2 linked regions of the Anolis sagrei genome follow. The protein of the gene in region 1 binds, or shares a complex with, the protein of each later gene. Links are inferred from orthologs where the notes say so. Each region holds a gene or a part of one and is shown on either strand. Other genes may lie near its edges.

Evidence for each region. The genes of interacting proteins can lie anywhere in the genome.
Region 2: DRC1 (region 1) and GAS8 share a complex: the UniProt entries of both Homo sapiens proteins name them as parts of the nexin-dynein regulatory complex. The link is inferred for Anolis sagrei from reciprocal best matches to the Homo sapiens genes DRC1 and DRC4.

What each region holds. Positions count from the first base shown.
Region 1 is NC_090021.1:3,609,010-3,616,153, reverse strand, and holds the start of DRC1 (dynein regulatory complex protein 1), read right to left. Parts: upstream 3,035-7,144; 5' UTR 2,734-3,034; coding exon 2,492-2,733; intron 1-2,491. UniProt on the Homo sapiens protein: Component of the nexin-dynein regulatory complex (N-DRC) a key regulator of ciliary/flagellar motility which maintains the alignment and integrity of the distal axoneme and regulates microtubule sliding in motile axonemes.
Region 2 is NC_090028.1:28,334,012-28,341,335, reverse strand, and holds the start of GAS8 (dynein regulatory complex subunit 4), read right to left. Parts: upstream 3,088-7,324; 5' UTR 3,004-3,087; coding exon 3,001-3,003; intron 1-3,000. UniProt on the Homo sapiens protein: Component of the nexin-dynein regulatory complex (N-DRC), a key regulator of ciliary/flagellar motility which maintains the alignment and integrity of the distal axoneme and regulates microtubule sliding in motile axonemes.

The sequences.
Region 1 (7,144 bases):
ATATACACAAACACTAAAATCAGTGTGACCAGCAGTGCTGTAGAATTTAAAGAGGCATGAATGGAGGGTGAAAGGGAGAAACGTGCCAAGAGGAAGGCGGGTCAAGCCAACCCTGACTGGGACCGCCTTCAGATGTCCTCACTGCGGGAGAAGATGCGGATCAAGAATAGGGGTCCACAGCCACCTACGGACCCACCGCCAAGACACCGTACTTGGAGGACAATCTTACTGGAACAACAAGGGATCAGCTAAGTAGGCAGTGTAACTAATATAGAAATATGGAACGTTTGGATGATGAGACTGGATCTTGATTTTAACTATGAGATGAGATGAGATGAGATGTTATGTTTATTGATTGTTATAATGTTATTCTTTTAACTTGTTTTTAACTGTTTTATCATGTTTAAGTATTGTATTTGCTTTGTTAACTGCTCCGAGTCGCCCTGAGGGCTGAGAAGAGCAGTAAACAAATATAGTAAATAAATAAATAATAAATAAGTAAGTAATAAAGTAATAATAATAATAAAATAGTAAAACTTTATTTATACCCCGCCACCATCTCTCCAAGGGGACTCAGAGTGGCTTACATGAGGCCAAGCCCAACAATACATCAGTAAAAAGAAAAAGCAATAACCAAATAAAACAATACAATTAATATAACTCACATATAAACAATAACACACAAAGATTTAAAAACCTATGTAATATATTTAAATAAATAAATAAATAATAAAAGGGTAAAGGTTGTCCCCTGACATTAAGTCCAGTCATGCCTGACTCTGGGGTGTGGTGCTCATCTCCATTTCTAAACTGAACAGCCAGCATTCTCCATAGACACCTCCAAGGTCATGTGGCTGGCATAAAGGCCGAACAGGGCATAGGGTTACAGCCTGTGTTGGATGGGGCCGCACTCCCCCTGAAGACGCAGGTTCGCAGCTTGGGTGTGACCCTGGACTCATCGCTGAGCCTGGAACCCCAGGTTTCGGCAGTGACCAGGGGAGCATTTGCACAACTAAAACTTGTGTGCCAGCTGCACCCGTACCTTGGGAAGTCTGACTTGGCCACGGTAGTCGACGCTCTGGTTACATCACGTATAGATTACTGCAACGCACTCTACATGGGGTTGCCTTTGAAGACGGCCCGGAAGCTTCAAATGGTCCAGCGTGCGGCAGCCAGGTTGTTAACAGGAGTGGCGCTCAGGAAGCATACCACTCCTCTGCTGCATCAGCTCCACTGGCTGCCAGTTTGCTCCCGGGCCCAATTGAAAGTGCTGGCTTTAGCCTTTAAAGCTCTAAACGGTTCTGGCCAGCCTACCTATCCGAACGCATCTCTTCCTACGAACCCAGGAAGTTAAGATCATCTGAGGAGGCCCTGCTCTCGATCCTGTCTGCTCCGCAAGCACGCTTGGCGGGGACGAGAGACATTCCGGAGGGCCTTCTCAGTAGTGGCCCCTTGGCTGTGGAACACCCTTCCTACAGACATCAGATCGGCCCCCTCCTTATTGGCATTCCGGAGGAGAGTGAAGACCTGGCTCTTTGAACAGGTTTTCAACTAAGCAGTGCACTTGATTGATTATTGGAATATGGATTAATGGACAATGAGATTGGTTGCTGATTCTATTGATGAGACGTGATGGATTGTTATTTTGCTGTATTGTTGTATTGATGTTTTGATGTTAATTAATTGATATTACTGTTTTAAATGACTAATGATTTTGTATTGTGTTGTTGATACTGATTGTTAACCGCTCTGAGTTGCCTGAAGCAAATAAATAATAAATAAATAAATTATTATTCTTGATTATATTATAATAAATAACATGTTTAAATAAATAAATAATGTAACATATTATTATTCTTGATTATATGATAATAAATAACATATTTAAATAAATAAATAATGTAACATAATTATTATTCTTGATTATATGATAATAAATAACATATTTAAATAAATAAATAAAATAATTATTATTTATTATATAATAATAAATAATATAGGTTCTTGTGGGTTTTTTCGGGCTATAGAGCCATGTTCTCTAGAGGCATGTCTCCTGACGTTTCGCCGGCATCTATGGCAAGCATCCTCAGAACTACTTCTGAGGATGCTTGCCATAGATGCAGGCGAAACGTCAGGAGAAATGCCTCTAGAACATGGCCATATAGCCTGAAAAAACCCACAAGAACCGAGTGATTCCAGCCATGAAAGCCTTCGACAATACAATAAATAATATATTTAAATAAATAAATAAATAAATAAAGTGCTATGCTAATAATATATAATATATTGTATGTAGGGATAACTTGTAAGCCGCTCTGAGTCCCCATGGGGGTGAGAAGTGGGGGATATAAAAGTCGTAAACAAATAAATAATCTGGGACGGGATGCTGGGATACACTGCCCTAGGAAACCCAGGCTGTCTGCTCTGAACGGGATTATATGGGGCAGTGTGGACTCCTAGGATCAGTTTCTCTGAGGCAGGTGAGGCGGACCTGCGCTTGGCCTCGAGGCGGGCGGCGATGCGGAGCCGTCGGGCGGCGATGCGCTCCTCGGGGTCGTCGGAGTTGATGTTGGGGACGAAGATGCGCTGCGGGGTGGCGCTCGCCCCGCCCTCCGCCGCCGCCTCGCCGCCCTTGCTGCTGCCCTGGCCCTCCGACTCCGGCCTCGCCTCGGCACCCGCGGCCCCCTCCTCGCCGCCGCCATCCTCGCCCGCCGACGCCGACGCCGCCTTCATCCCGCCTCAGACTAGGCCTCGTTGCCAGGGGAGACCGCGTCGCCAGGAGGGACGCCGCCGACGTTGCCGTGGCGACGACGCCGACGCTCGACTCAGCCTAGCTGACTAACGCGCCTTGTACGCATGCGCAAAAGCAGCCCTTTCTGGGTGTTCGCAAACGCGTCGTCTACGCATGCGCAAAGTTAGCCTTTTCTCTGTGTGTATGCATGCGAACAGTTAGCCCTTTCTGTCTTCGCTCCTGAGGCCTTGTACGCATGCGCAGAGTTAGCCCTTTCTTGTGTTCGCGAACTCGACTTCTACGCACAGTCAGCTCTGTTCGCTAACGCGTCTTCTACGCATGCGCAAAGTTGGCCCTTTCTGTGTGTGGATTCGCGAACGCACCTTGTACGCATGCGCACAGTTAACCCTTTCTGTGTGGTAGCTAACGCGCCTTCAACGCATGCGCACAGCGAGCCCTTTCTATTCGTTAATACACCTTGTACGCATGCGCAAAGTTAGCCCTTTCTTGTGTTCACGGACTCGACTTCTACGCACGCGCAAAGTTAGCTCTGTTCGCTAACGCGTCTTCTACGCATGCGCAAAGTTGGCCCTTTCTGTGTGTGGGTTCGCAAACGCACCTTGTACGCATGCGCAAAGTTAGCCCTTTCTTGTGTTCGCGAACTCGACTTCTACGCACGCACAAAGTTAGCTCTGTTCGCTAACGCGTCTTCTACGCATGCGCATGCGCAAAGTTAGCCCTTTCTTGTTCGCGAACTGGACTTCTACGCATGCGCAAAGTTAGCCCTTTCTGTGTTCGCTCATGAGGCCTTGTACGCATGCGCAAAGTTAGCCCTTTCTTGTGTTCGCGAACTGGACTTCTACGCATGCGCAAAGTTAGCCCTTTCTGTGTGGTTTTTAAAATTATTTATTTATTTAATTAATAATAAATAATAAATATTTATTTATTTATTTATTTAATTAAAATTATTTATTTATTTAATTAATAATTATTTAATTATTTATATAATAATTATTATTTTATATTATTTATTTATTTAAATATATTATTTATTATCATATAATCAAGAATAATAATTATTTTATATTATATTATTTATTTAAATATATTATTTATTTCTAACGCGCCTTCTACGCATGCGCAAAGCGAGCCCTTTCTGTGTGTCTGTTCTCTAATGCGCCTTGTACGCATGCGCAAAGTTAGTCCTCTTGCAGAAAGGTTACTTTTTTGAGAGTTAAGGTCTGCTCGTGGAAGGAGAACGATTTCTCCTTTTTTGTGGACCCCTTCCCAAGGTATGTTGTTCATTCGTTCAGTCGTCTCCGACTCTTCGTGACCTCATGGACCAGCCTACGCCAGAGCTCCCTGTCGGCCGTTACCACCCCCAGCTCCCTCAAGGTCAGTCCAGTCACTTCAAGGATGCCACCCATCCATCTTGCCCTTGGTCGGCCCCTCTTCCTTTTGCCTTCCACTTTCCCCAGCATAATTGTCTTCTCCAGGCTTTGCTGTCTCCTCATGATGTGGCCAAAGGACTTCAGCTTTGCCTCTCATCTCCTTCCCTCCAATGAGCAGTCGGGCTTTATTTCCTGGAGGATGGACTGGTTGGATCTTCTCGCAGTCCAAGGCACTCTCAGAACTTTCCTCCAACACCACAGCTCAAAAGCATCTCTCTTCCTTCGCTCAGCCTTCCCTAAGGTCCAGCTCTCCCATCGTAGGTTACTACAGGGAAGACCATGGCTTTGACTAGGCGGATCTTTGTTGCCAGTCTGATGTCTCTACTCTTTACTATTTTATCGAGACTGGACATTGCTCTCCTCCCAAGAAGGAAGCGTCTTCTGATTTCCTGGCCTCAGTCTGCATCTGCAGTAATCTTTGCACCTAGAAATACAAAGTCTGTCACGGCCTCCACATTTTCTCCCTCTATTTCCCAGTTGTCAATCATTCTTGTTGCCATAATCTTGGTTTTTTTGACGTTCAGCTGCAACCCGGCTTTTGCGCTTTCTTCTTTCGCCTTGATTAGAAGGCTCCTCAGCTCCTCCTCGCTTTCGACCATCAGAGTGGTGTCATCTGCATATCTGAGGTTGTTAATGTTTCTTCCAGCAATTTTCACCCCAGCTTTGCATTCATCCAGCCCCGCACATCCTCGCATGATGTGTTCTGCATACAAGTTTAAAAGGTTGGGTGAGAGGATGCAGCCTTGCCGGACGCCTTTCCCAATCTTGAGCCCGTCTCCTGTTCCGTGGCCAGTTCTGACTGTGGCTACTTGGTCCTTGTACAGATTCCTCAGGAGAGGGGGAAGGGGGCTTGGGATGCCCATCCCACCAAGAACTTGCCACAATTTATTATGATCCACACAGTCAAAGGCTTTAGAATAGTCAATGAAGCAGAAGTAGATGTTTTTCTGAAACTCCCTGCCTTTCTCCATTATCCATCGGATATTGGCAATCTGGTCTCTCGTTCCTCTGCCTTTTCTAAACCCAGCTTGAACATCTGGCAACTCTCGCTCCATGTATTGCTGGAGTCTTCCTTGCAGGATCTTGAGCATTACCTTACTGGCATGAGAAATAAGGGCCACTGTACGGAAGTTGGAGCAGTCTTTCGCATTTCCCTTTTTTGGTATGGGGATATAAGTTGATTTTTTCCAGTCTGATGGCCATTCTTGTGTTTTCCATATTTGCTGGCAAATGGCATGCATCACCTTGACAGCATCATCTTTTAAGATTTTAAACAGTTCAGCTGGGATCCCGTCGTCTCCTGCTGCCTTGTTGTTAGCAATGCTTTTTAAGGCCCATTCAACCTCACTCCTCAGGATGTCTGGTTCTAATTCATTCACCACACCGTCAAAACTAACCTCAATATTATTATCCTTCCTATACAGATCTTCTCTATAGTCTTGCCACCTTCTCTTGATCTCTTCAGCTTCTGTTAGGTCCCTGCCATCTTTGTTTCTTATCATACCAATTTTTGCCAGAAGTATCCCAAGGTATACACAACCATAACAACAAAGTCTAAATTATTATTTTGTGGCTATTATGATTTTGAGGGGGTTTGGCAGAGTGGGTGAAGGTGATGGTTAATACCTCCTTACAGGAAGGAAAATTTCCAGCGAGCTTAAAACAAGCTATTATAAAACCGCTGTTGAAGAAACCATCACTGGATCCCACTCAATTCGACAACTATCGGCCAGTTTCCAATCTCCCCTATTTGGGCAAAGTCCTGGAACGTGTGGTGGCAACACAACTCCAGGGGTTCCTGGTAGACACTGATTATCTTGATCCGGCACAGTCTGGCTTTAGACCGGGACATGGAATGGAAACAGCCTTGGTCGCCTTGGTAGATGATCTTCACGGGGAGCTGGACAGGGGGAGTGTGTCCCTGTTAGTTCTGCTGGACCTCTCAGCGGCCTTCGATACCGTCGATCATGGTATCCTTCTGGAGGGTGCCTCATGGACATGGGGCTCGGAGGCACTGCTCTGCGGTGGCTCCGATCCTTCCTTGAGGGACTGACCCAGAAGGTGTTATTGGGTGACACCTGTTCGGCTCCGCAACCGTTGCTGTGTAGAGTCCCACAGGGTTCAATCCTGTCCCCAATGTTATTTAACATCTTCATGAAGCTGCTGGGAGAGATCATTCGGAGTTTCGGACTAAGATGTTACCTCTATGCAGATGACGTCCAAATCTGTCACTCCTTCTTACCTGTCACCAAGGAGGCTGTCCAGACCTTGAACCGGTGTTTAGCTGCTGTGTCGGACTGGATGAGAGCTAACACATTGAAATTGAATCCAGACAAGACAGAGGTCCTACTGGTCAGTCGTAAGGCCGAACAGGGCATAGGGTTACAGCCTGTGTTAGACGGGGTTCCACTCCCCCTGAAGACGCAGGTTCGCAGCTTGGGAGTGATCCTGGACTCATCGCTGAGCCTGGAACCCCAAGTCTCAGCGGTGGCCGGGAGAGCTTTTGCACAACTAAAACTTGTGCGTCAGCTGCGCCCGTACCTTGGGAAGTCGGACTTGGCCACGGTGGTCCACGCTCTTGTTACATCCCGACTGGATTACTGCAACGCACTCTACGTGGGGTTGCCTTTGAAGACTGCTCGGAAACTTCAACTAGTCCAGCGAGAAGCAGCCAGATTGCTCACCGGAGCGGCGTACAGGGAGCATACCACCCCCCTGTTGCGTCAGCTCCACTGGCTGCCGATCCAATTCCGAGCACAATTCAAAGTGCTGGTTTTGACCTACAAAACCCTATACAGTTCCGGCCCAGTGTATTTGTCCGAACGGATCTCCCTCTACGTCCCACCTCGGAGTTTAAGATCATCTGGGGAGGTCCTGCTCTCGACCCCGCCACTGTCACAAGTGAGGCTGTTGGGGACGAGGAGCAGGGCCTTCTCAGTGGTGGCCCCCCACCTGTGGAACT
Region 2 (7,324 bases), on another chromosome or scaffold:
CTGTGATCCCCATGAAAGACGGACCTGGACCAAACTTGGCACACAGACCCCCCCTCCCCATGACCCACTTTACATCCTGGTAATGTTTGGAGGAGGATGCACCATGGACGATGGGATTTGGAGTACCTTCAACTGCTTTGGCTTCCACAGACCTCCAATGACGGACCCGGACCAAACTTGGGATACAGACTCCCTGGGCCCTTCAAGACAGGCCCTATAACCCAGAAGCATTCTCTCCTGACATTTCATCCACATCTATGGCAGTTATATAACCTGGATTATATGAGTCCTCACTGCCAGATAAGCAGAAAACCTGAGATTGGATCCTGTAATATAGGGCCTGTCTGGAAGGGCCCCCCATGACCCATTTTACAGCCTGATGAAGTTTGGGGAGGATGGACCATGGATGATGGGATTTGCAGTACCTTCACCCGCATCCAGAGACTACCGCAAACCCCATCAGCCATGGATCTGGACCAAACTTGGCACACAGATACCCGATGACCCACTTTAAGTCTTTGTGGTGCTTTTTGGGGGAAGGACCTGGATGATGGGAGTTGCAGTTCCTTCACCTACATCCAGAGGCTGCTGCAGACCCCATCAGCCATGGACCTGGACTAATTTTGGCAAAGAGACCTCCTCATGAGACTTTATGTCCTGCTGAGGTTTGGGGGAGATGGTCCATGGACAATGGGATTTGCAGTTCCTTTACCCTCATCCAAAGAGTACTGCTAACCCCATCCAAAGACAACTGATAACTCCGTTAACCTGCTAATTTCTAATTGGTCCATTTATAACATCCAAAAACAAACCATGTCTTTTTCAAGTAACTCAGGTACCCAAGCTAGTAAGAGATAAAAATCAACAGACAATGAGTATGAGTTCATAGAATTGTTCCTGTAGTTGTGTGTTCAGTCTGTGTACATTAGTGTAGGTATGTTTTGGGGTAGTGTGCAATTTTTTTTTTTAGATTTAGTCTGCAATATTAAAAAATAGTAACAATAACAAAATAATAATAATAATACATTGTACCTGTTACCTACCTCTCCCAATGGCTTGAGGCAGGGTACAACACAGTCAAAACACATTAATGAGTGTAAGCTTCACAGAATTGTTCCTGTAGTTGCTTGTTTAGTATATGTACAGATGTATCTGTTGGGTTAGTGCAGGCATGCGCAAACTTTGACCCTCCAGGTGTTTTGGACTTCAACTCCCACAATTCCTAACAGCCTACCGCTGTTAGAATTGTGGGAGTTGAAGTACAAAACACCTTTAGGGCCAAAGTTTGCCCACACCTGGATTAGTGTGCGAATATTTTTAGATTTAGCCTGCAAGATTTAAAATAATAAAATAACAATAATAAAAAGTCAAAATACATCAACAAAAACGCATACAACAAAATACATATATCAAAATCCGCCAAAACATATGGTATAAGGACCAAGATACAATGGCAAGAGAATGCAAACCCCAAAATTCATGGTCCAAAGTTGACTAGGTTGCCGGAAAAGGGTTTTTTTTCCCATGTCAGGAGCAAGTTGAGAAACTGCAAGTCGCTTTTAGTGTAAGAATTGGCTGCCTGCAAGGACATTACCCAGGGGACGCCTGGATGTTTGGTGGGAGGCATCCTTGTGGGAGGCATCTCTCATGTCCCCGCATGGGGAGCTGGAGCTGACAGAGGGAGCTCAACCCGCTCTTCCCAGATTTGAACCGTTGACCTCTTGGTCAGCAGTCCTGCCAGCACAGGGGTTTAACCCATTGCGCTATCAGGAGCTCCATCCACCAGAAAAGATGGGATGTCATAAGAATGATAATAATAAATATTATTATTTTATTACCCGCCTCTCCTTGCAGTTACAACACTGTTAAAAACAAATTGGGATATTATATAATACTAATAGTATATTGTACTGGTAGTGTATGATATACATTGTGGTTTGATAATATAGTACAATATAATAATATACAATAATATGATAAGTGTATAGTATATATTACATATAATATTAGTAGCAATATTGCAGTATAATGTGTTATTATTTTTGATGTAGATGTGGATTTGTTTTTGGGATTTGGGGAGTTGGTTAGTTTTGTCTTTATTCAGCTTCTCATGGCATTGAACGTTTGCCGATATCTGTTGTAAACCACTCTGAGTCCCCTCGGGGAGATAGGGAAGGATATAAATAAAGCTTTATTATTATTATTATATTCTTTTTTCTTTTCTTTTTAGGCAGCAGTTCCCAGAATCCATCAAGTCCATCTTTGTTGTATTATATCTCTTTGGATGACAAATCCCAAAACTGTTTGTCTACACTGAAAAATTAATGCGGTTTAACCCCACTTGAAAGGCCACAGTTCAGTGCTATGGTTCCTGGGAGTCATAGACCCCTTCTACGCTGCCATATAAAATCCAGATTATCTTATTTGAACTGGATTATATGGCAACATAGATTTATATAATCCAGTTCAAAGCAGATAATGTGGATTGCCTGCTTTGATCATCTGGATTCTATGGCAGTGTAGATACATAAAATCCAGTTCAAAAGAGATTATGTGGATTGTCTGCTTTGATAATCTGGATTCTATGGGAGTGTAGCTGCATATAATCCAATTCAAAGCAGGTATTGTGGATTGTCTGCTTTGATAATCTAGATTCTATGGCAGTGTAGATTCATACAATCCAGTTCAAAGCAAATAATGTGGATTTTCTGCTTTGATAATCTGGATTCTATGGCAGTGTAGAAAGGGTCGAAGTTTCACAAGGCCTTCTCTGCCCAAAGATTGCAAACTACAACTCCAATGACTCCATAGCATGGAGCTAAAGACGCTGAAGTGGAATCAATCCGCATTAATTTGACAGTGTGGCTTCCCCTGTTCTCTCAACCCTCAAACCACGACATAGCCACTCTCTCAGCTACTAAGGTGGGCCATATACACAACCTACATCATCATCATCATCATCATCATCACAACTCTCTCCCTCCCACTGGACAGACTCACCATGGTGACGGCTTCAGTGTCTCTCTAGAAGACTAGGCCCAGAGTCTTCTGGTTGCCAAGCAACCGTAGCCCAAATCTCGCGAGAGCCTCGGCTCCGCCCTTGGCCAAGAAGCCGCGCCCCTAGCAACGAGGCCCCGCCCCTAGTTACAGGGAGAAGGAGGGTGTTTTTTTTCACCCTTTGGCTCTTCATCTGATACCAATTGGCTCCTACAATGGACACAAGCTTTGATTCATGCCCAAAAAACTATTTAAAATATTATATGCAGAATTTCCTTATATTATAATAATGATATTATTGTTTTACATAAGATAATATTATTCTATATAATATTATAATATATATTATTATGGTATTGTATATTATTACATATAATAATATTACATTTTGGATATAATCCATTAAAATATAAGCATGCTCATAATATATTATAATACTTTATAAGTATGATTATATTTTAACTGATTTCATATATTATATATATTATATTATTATATATTATAATATATAATAGCATACATAATAATATATAATGTAGTCATAGAATCATAGAATCAAAGAGTTGGAAGAGACCTCATGGGCCATCCAGTCCAACCCCTTTCTACCAAGAAGCAGGAATATTGCATTCAAATCACCCCTGACAGATGGCCATCCAGCCTCTGTTTAAAAGCTTCCAAAGAAGGAGCCTCCACCACACTCCGGGGCAGAGAGTTCCACTGCTGAACGGCTCTCACAGTCAGGAAGTTCTTCCTCATGTTCAGGTGGAATCTCCTCTCTTGTAGTTTGAAGCCATTGTTTTGCGTCCTAGTCTCCAGGGAAGCAGAAAACAAGCTTGCTCCCTCCTCCCTGTGGCTTCCTCTCACGTATTTATACATGGCTATCATATCCCCTCTCAGCCTTCTCTTCTTCAGGCTAAACATGCCCAGCTCCTTAAGCCGCTCCTCATAGGGCTTGTTCTCCAGATCTTTTATCATTTTAGTCGCTCTCCCCTGGACACATTCCAGCTTGTCAATATCTCTCTTCAATTGTGGGCCCAGAATTGGACACAATATTCCAGGTGTGGTCTAACCAAAGCGGAATAGAGGGGTAGCATGACTTCCCTAGATCTAGACACTATGCTCCTATTGATGCAGGCCAAAATCCCATTGGCTTTTTTTGCCGCCACATCACATTGTTGGCTCATGTTTAACTTGTTGTCCACGAGGACTCCAAGATCTTTTTCACACGTATTGCTCTCAAGCCAGGCATCATCCCCCATTCTGTATCTTTGCATTTCGTTTTTCCTGCCAAAGTGGAGTATCTTTCTAATTTATGCAGTAATGTAGTTTTTTTTTACTAATTTATGCAATGCTTTTGATACGAAATAAACAAAAAATAATATCATATATAATAACAATATATTATATATCTAATAATTTTATATTATTATATATTATAATATCACATAATATATGTAATCAATTGTAATAAAGTATTATAAAGTATGAAACAACTGCATTTCATAGTGAGCACCTTGGTCTCCCTACAGATGTCCCAATCCTGAAACACTCTCTGCTTCATTTGGAAAAATGCTGCACTTGCAGAGCTCAGGTGGTGTTGTATTTCAGGGTCAGTGTTGACTTTTGTGGAGAGGTGGCGGCCAAGGTAATGTTACACCATTAAGCTGTATTTCTGGCATTGCAGAGGGATTGGCAGGTAACTGCTGGAAGAGCACTTTGGTTTTCTCGATGTTCAATGAAGAAATCCAACACTTTGCAGATATCCATGATGTTGTTGTTGTTCATTCGTTCAGTCGTCTCTGACGCTTCGTGACCTCAAGGACCAGCCCACACCAGAGCTCCCTGTTGGCCATCACTGCCCCCAGCTCCTTCAAGGTCAGTCCAGTCACTTCAAGGATGCCATCCATCCATCTTGCCCTTGGTCGGCCCCTCTTCCTTTTGCCTTCCACTTTCCCCAGCATAATTGTCTTCTCCAGGCTTTGCTGTCTCCTCATGATGTGACCAAAGTACTTCAACTTTGTCTCTAGTCTCCTTCCCTCCAGTGAGCAGCCGGGCTTTATTTCCTGGAGGATGGACTGGTTGGATCTTCTCGCAGTCCAAGGCACTCTCAGAACTTTCCTCCAGCACCTCAGTTCAAAAGCATCTATCTTCCTTCGCCCAGCCTTCCCTAAAGTCCAGCTCTCACATCCGTAGGTTACTACAGGGAATACCATGGCTTTGACTAGGCGGATCTTTGTTGCCAGTCTGATGTCTCTACTCTTCACTATTTTATCGAGACTGGACATTGCTCTCCTCCCAAGAAGTAAGCGTCTTCTGATTTCCTGGCCACAGTCTGCATCTGCAGTTATCTTTGCACCTAGAAATACAAAGTCTGTCACGGCCTCCACGATTTCTTCCTCTATTTTCCAGTTGTCAATCATTCTTGTTGCCATAATCTTGGTTTTTTTGACGTTTAGCTGCAACCCAGCTTATGCGCTTTCTTCTTTCACCTTGATTAGAAGGCTCCTCAGCTCCTCCTCGCTTTCGGCCATCAGAGTGGTGTCATCTGCATATCTGAGGTTGTTAATGTTTCTTCCAGCAATTTTCACCCCAGCTTTGCATTCATCAAGCCCCGCACATTGCATGATGTGTTCTGCATACATTGCATGATGTGTTCTGCAAAAAGATTGGGTGAGAGTATGCAGCCTGGCCGTACGCCTTTCCCAATCTTGAACCAGTCTGTTGTTCCGTGGTCAGTTCTTACTGTTGCTACTTGGTCCTTGTACAGATTCCTTGTACAGATATCCATGATGCTCAGGGATTTTTTTAAAGCCACAAAGGTAATTACAGACCAAGAAATCATGGCATACACCCTCCTACACTCATCAGATGGAACCAAACTTCTGAAGGACAAAAAATCAATTGCACTACGTTAGAAAGAGCACTACCACAACCTCCTGATTTGTTCTCTCACAAATCCCACAACAACTAACCAGGGATGAGCTTGCAGCCCTGCCTGGTTTGGAGGAAGTCAGCAACGTCCAGCCAACAAAAACATAACATAGCCAGTGGACCTGATGGGATCCCTGCTGAGATCTTTAAAGAGGGTGTACCTGAGCTAATACAACAAATCCACCAGTTCATTGAAAACATGTGGATGACTAAGAAAATCCAAGAAGACTTCAAGGATGTCACCATCATCACCCTTTTCAAAAAAGGGGAAACAACAGATGCATCTCCCTTCTGACCTCCAGTGGGAAAATCCTTGCAAGAATCTTTGGAAACCACCTTTTACCTGGGAAGACACCCTACCAGAATCTCAGAATGGCTTCCGACCCTCCAGAGGAACAGTAGACATGATCTTCACTGGACGACAGCTCCAAGAAAATTATTATATAATATATAATATTATAATATTTACTTAGTTATGCAATCCCTTGTAGCCCGAGGATGATGGTCCTTCTAGTGTAGTGTCTTGGTGGTGGGTCTATAGGTGGCTTTGGAGACCTATTCTTGTTTGCATGTTCTCCTGCAGTGAGGACATTGGTTTCCAGGCAGAAGGTGGTCCCAGTCTGGGTTGGCTTGACATGCCTTACTCTTGTCACCTTTCTCCCTTTCGCCCTCCATTCGTGCCTTTGAATTCTGCAGCACTGCTGGTCACAGCTGATCTCCAGTTAGAGTGCTCAATAATGATTATAATTATATAATATATAATTATATATATAATATATATATTTATAATATATGTAATAAAGTACAATAAATGACTATGTTCTAGAAGCATTATCTCCTGATGTTTCGCCTCCATCTATGGCAAGCATTTTCAGAGGTTGTGAGGTCTCACAAACTCTGAGGATGCTTGCAATAGATGCAGGCAAAACGTCAGGAGAGAATGCCTCTAGAACATGGCCACATAGCCTAAAAAAACCTACAACAACCCAGCAAAGATACATATTTCAAAATCCTCCAAAGTCCCAAATGTGAACAGAAATAAACATATTAAAAACATTTCAGATGAAAGAGCCTCAACCTACACTATACTGAAAATTTAGTTGTGAGAAAAAACCTAATTGTACAGAATGGAGTCATTTTTTTAAATGTTGAGGCAAACCAAATTCCTATAATACCAGCATTAAAATACATTATTAAAAGGCAATATTTTTAATCTATTTTATATTAATCCCATTTTTTATCTTCATAAAGGGACTCATTTGAGACCTATAAAACCAGGGCAAAACAAAACAGTCAAAATAACAACAATGGTACACAACAGTGGGCCCCATGTCAGTGAAATGGGGAATCCAGTCCCAGTTTTACCTCATACCTTCAAGGAGCTTTCCAAGGTCCT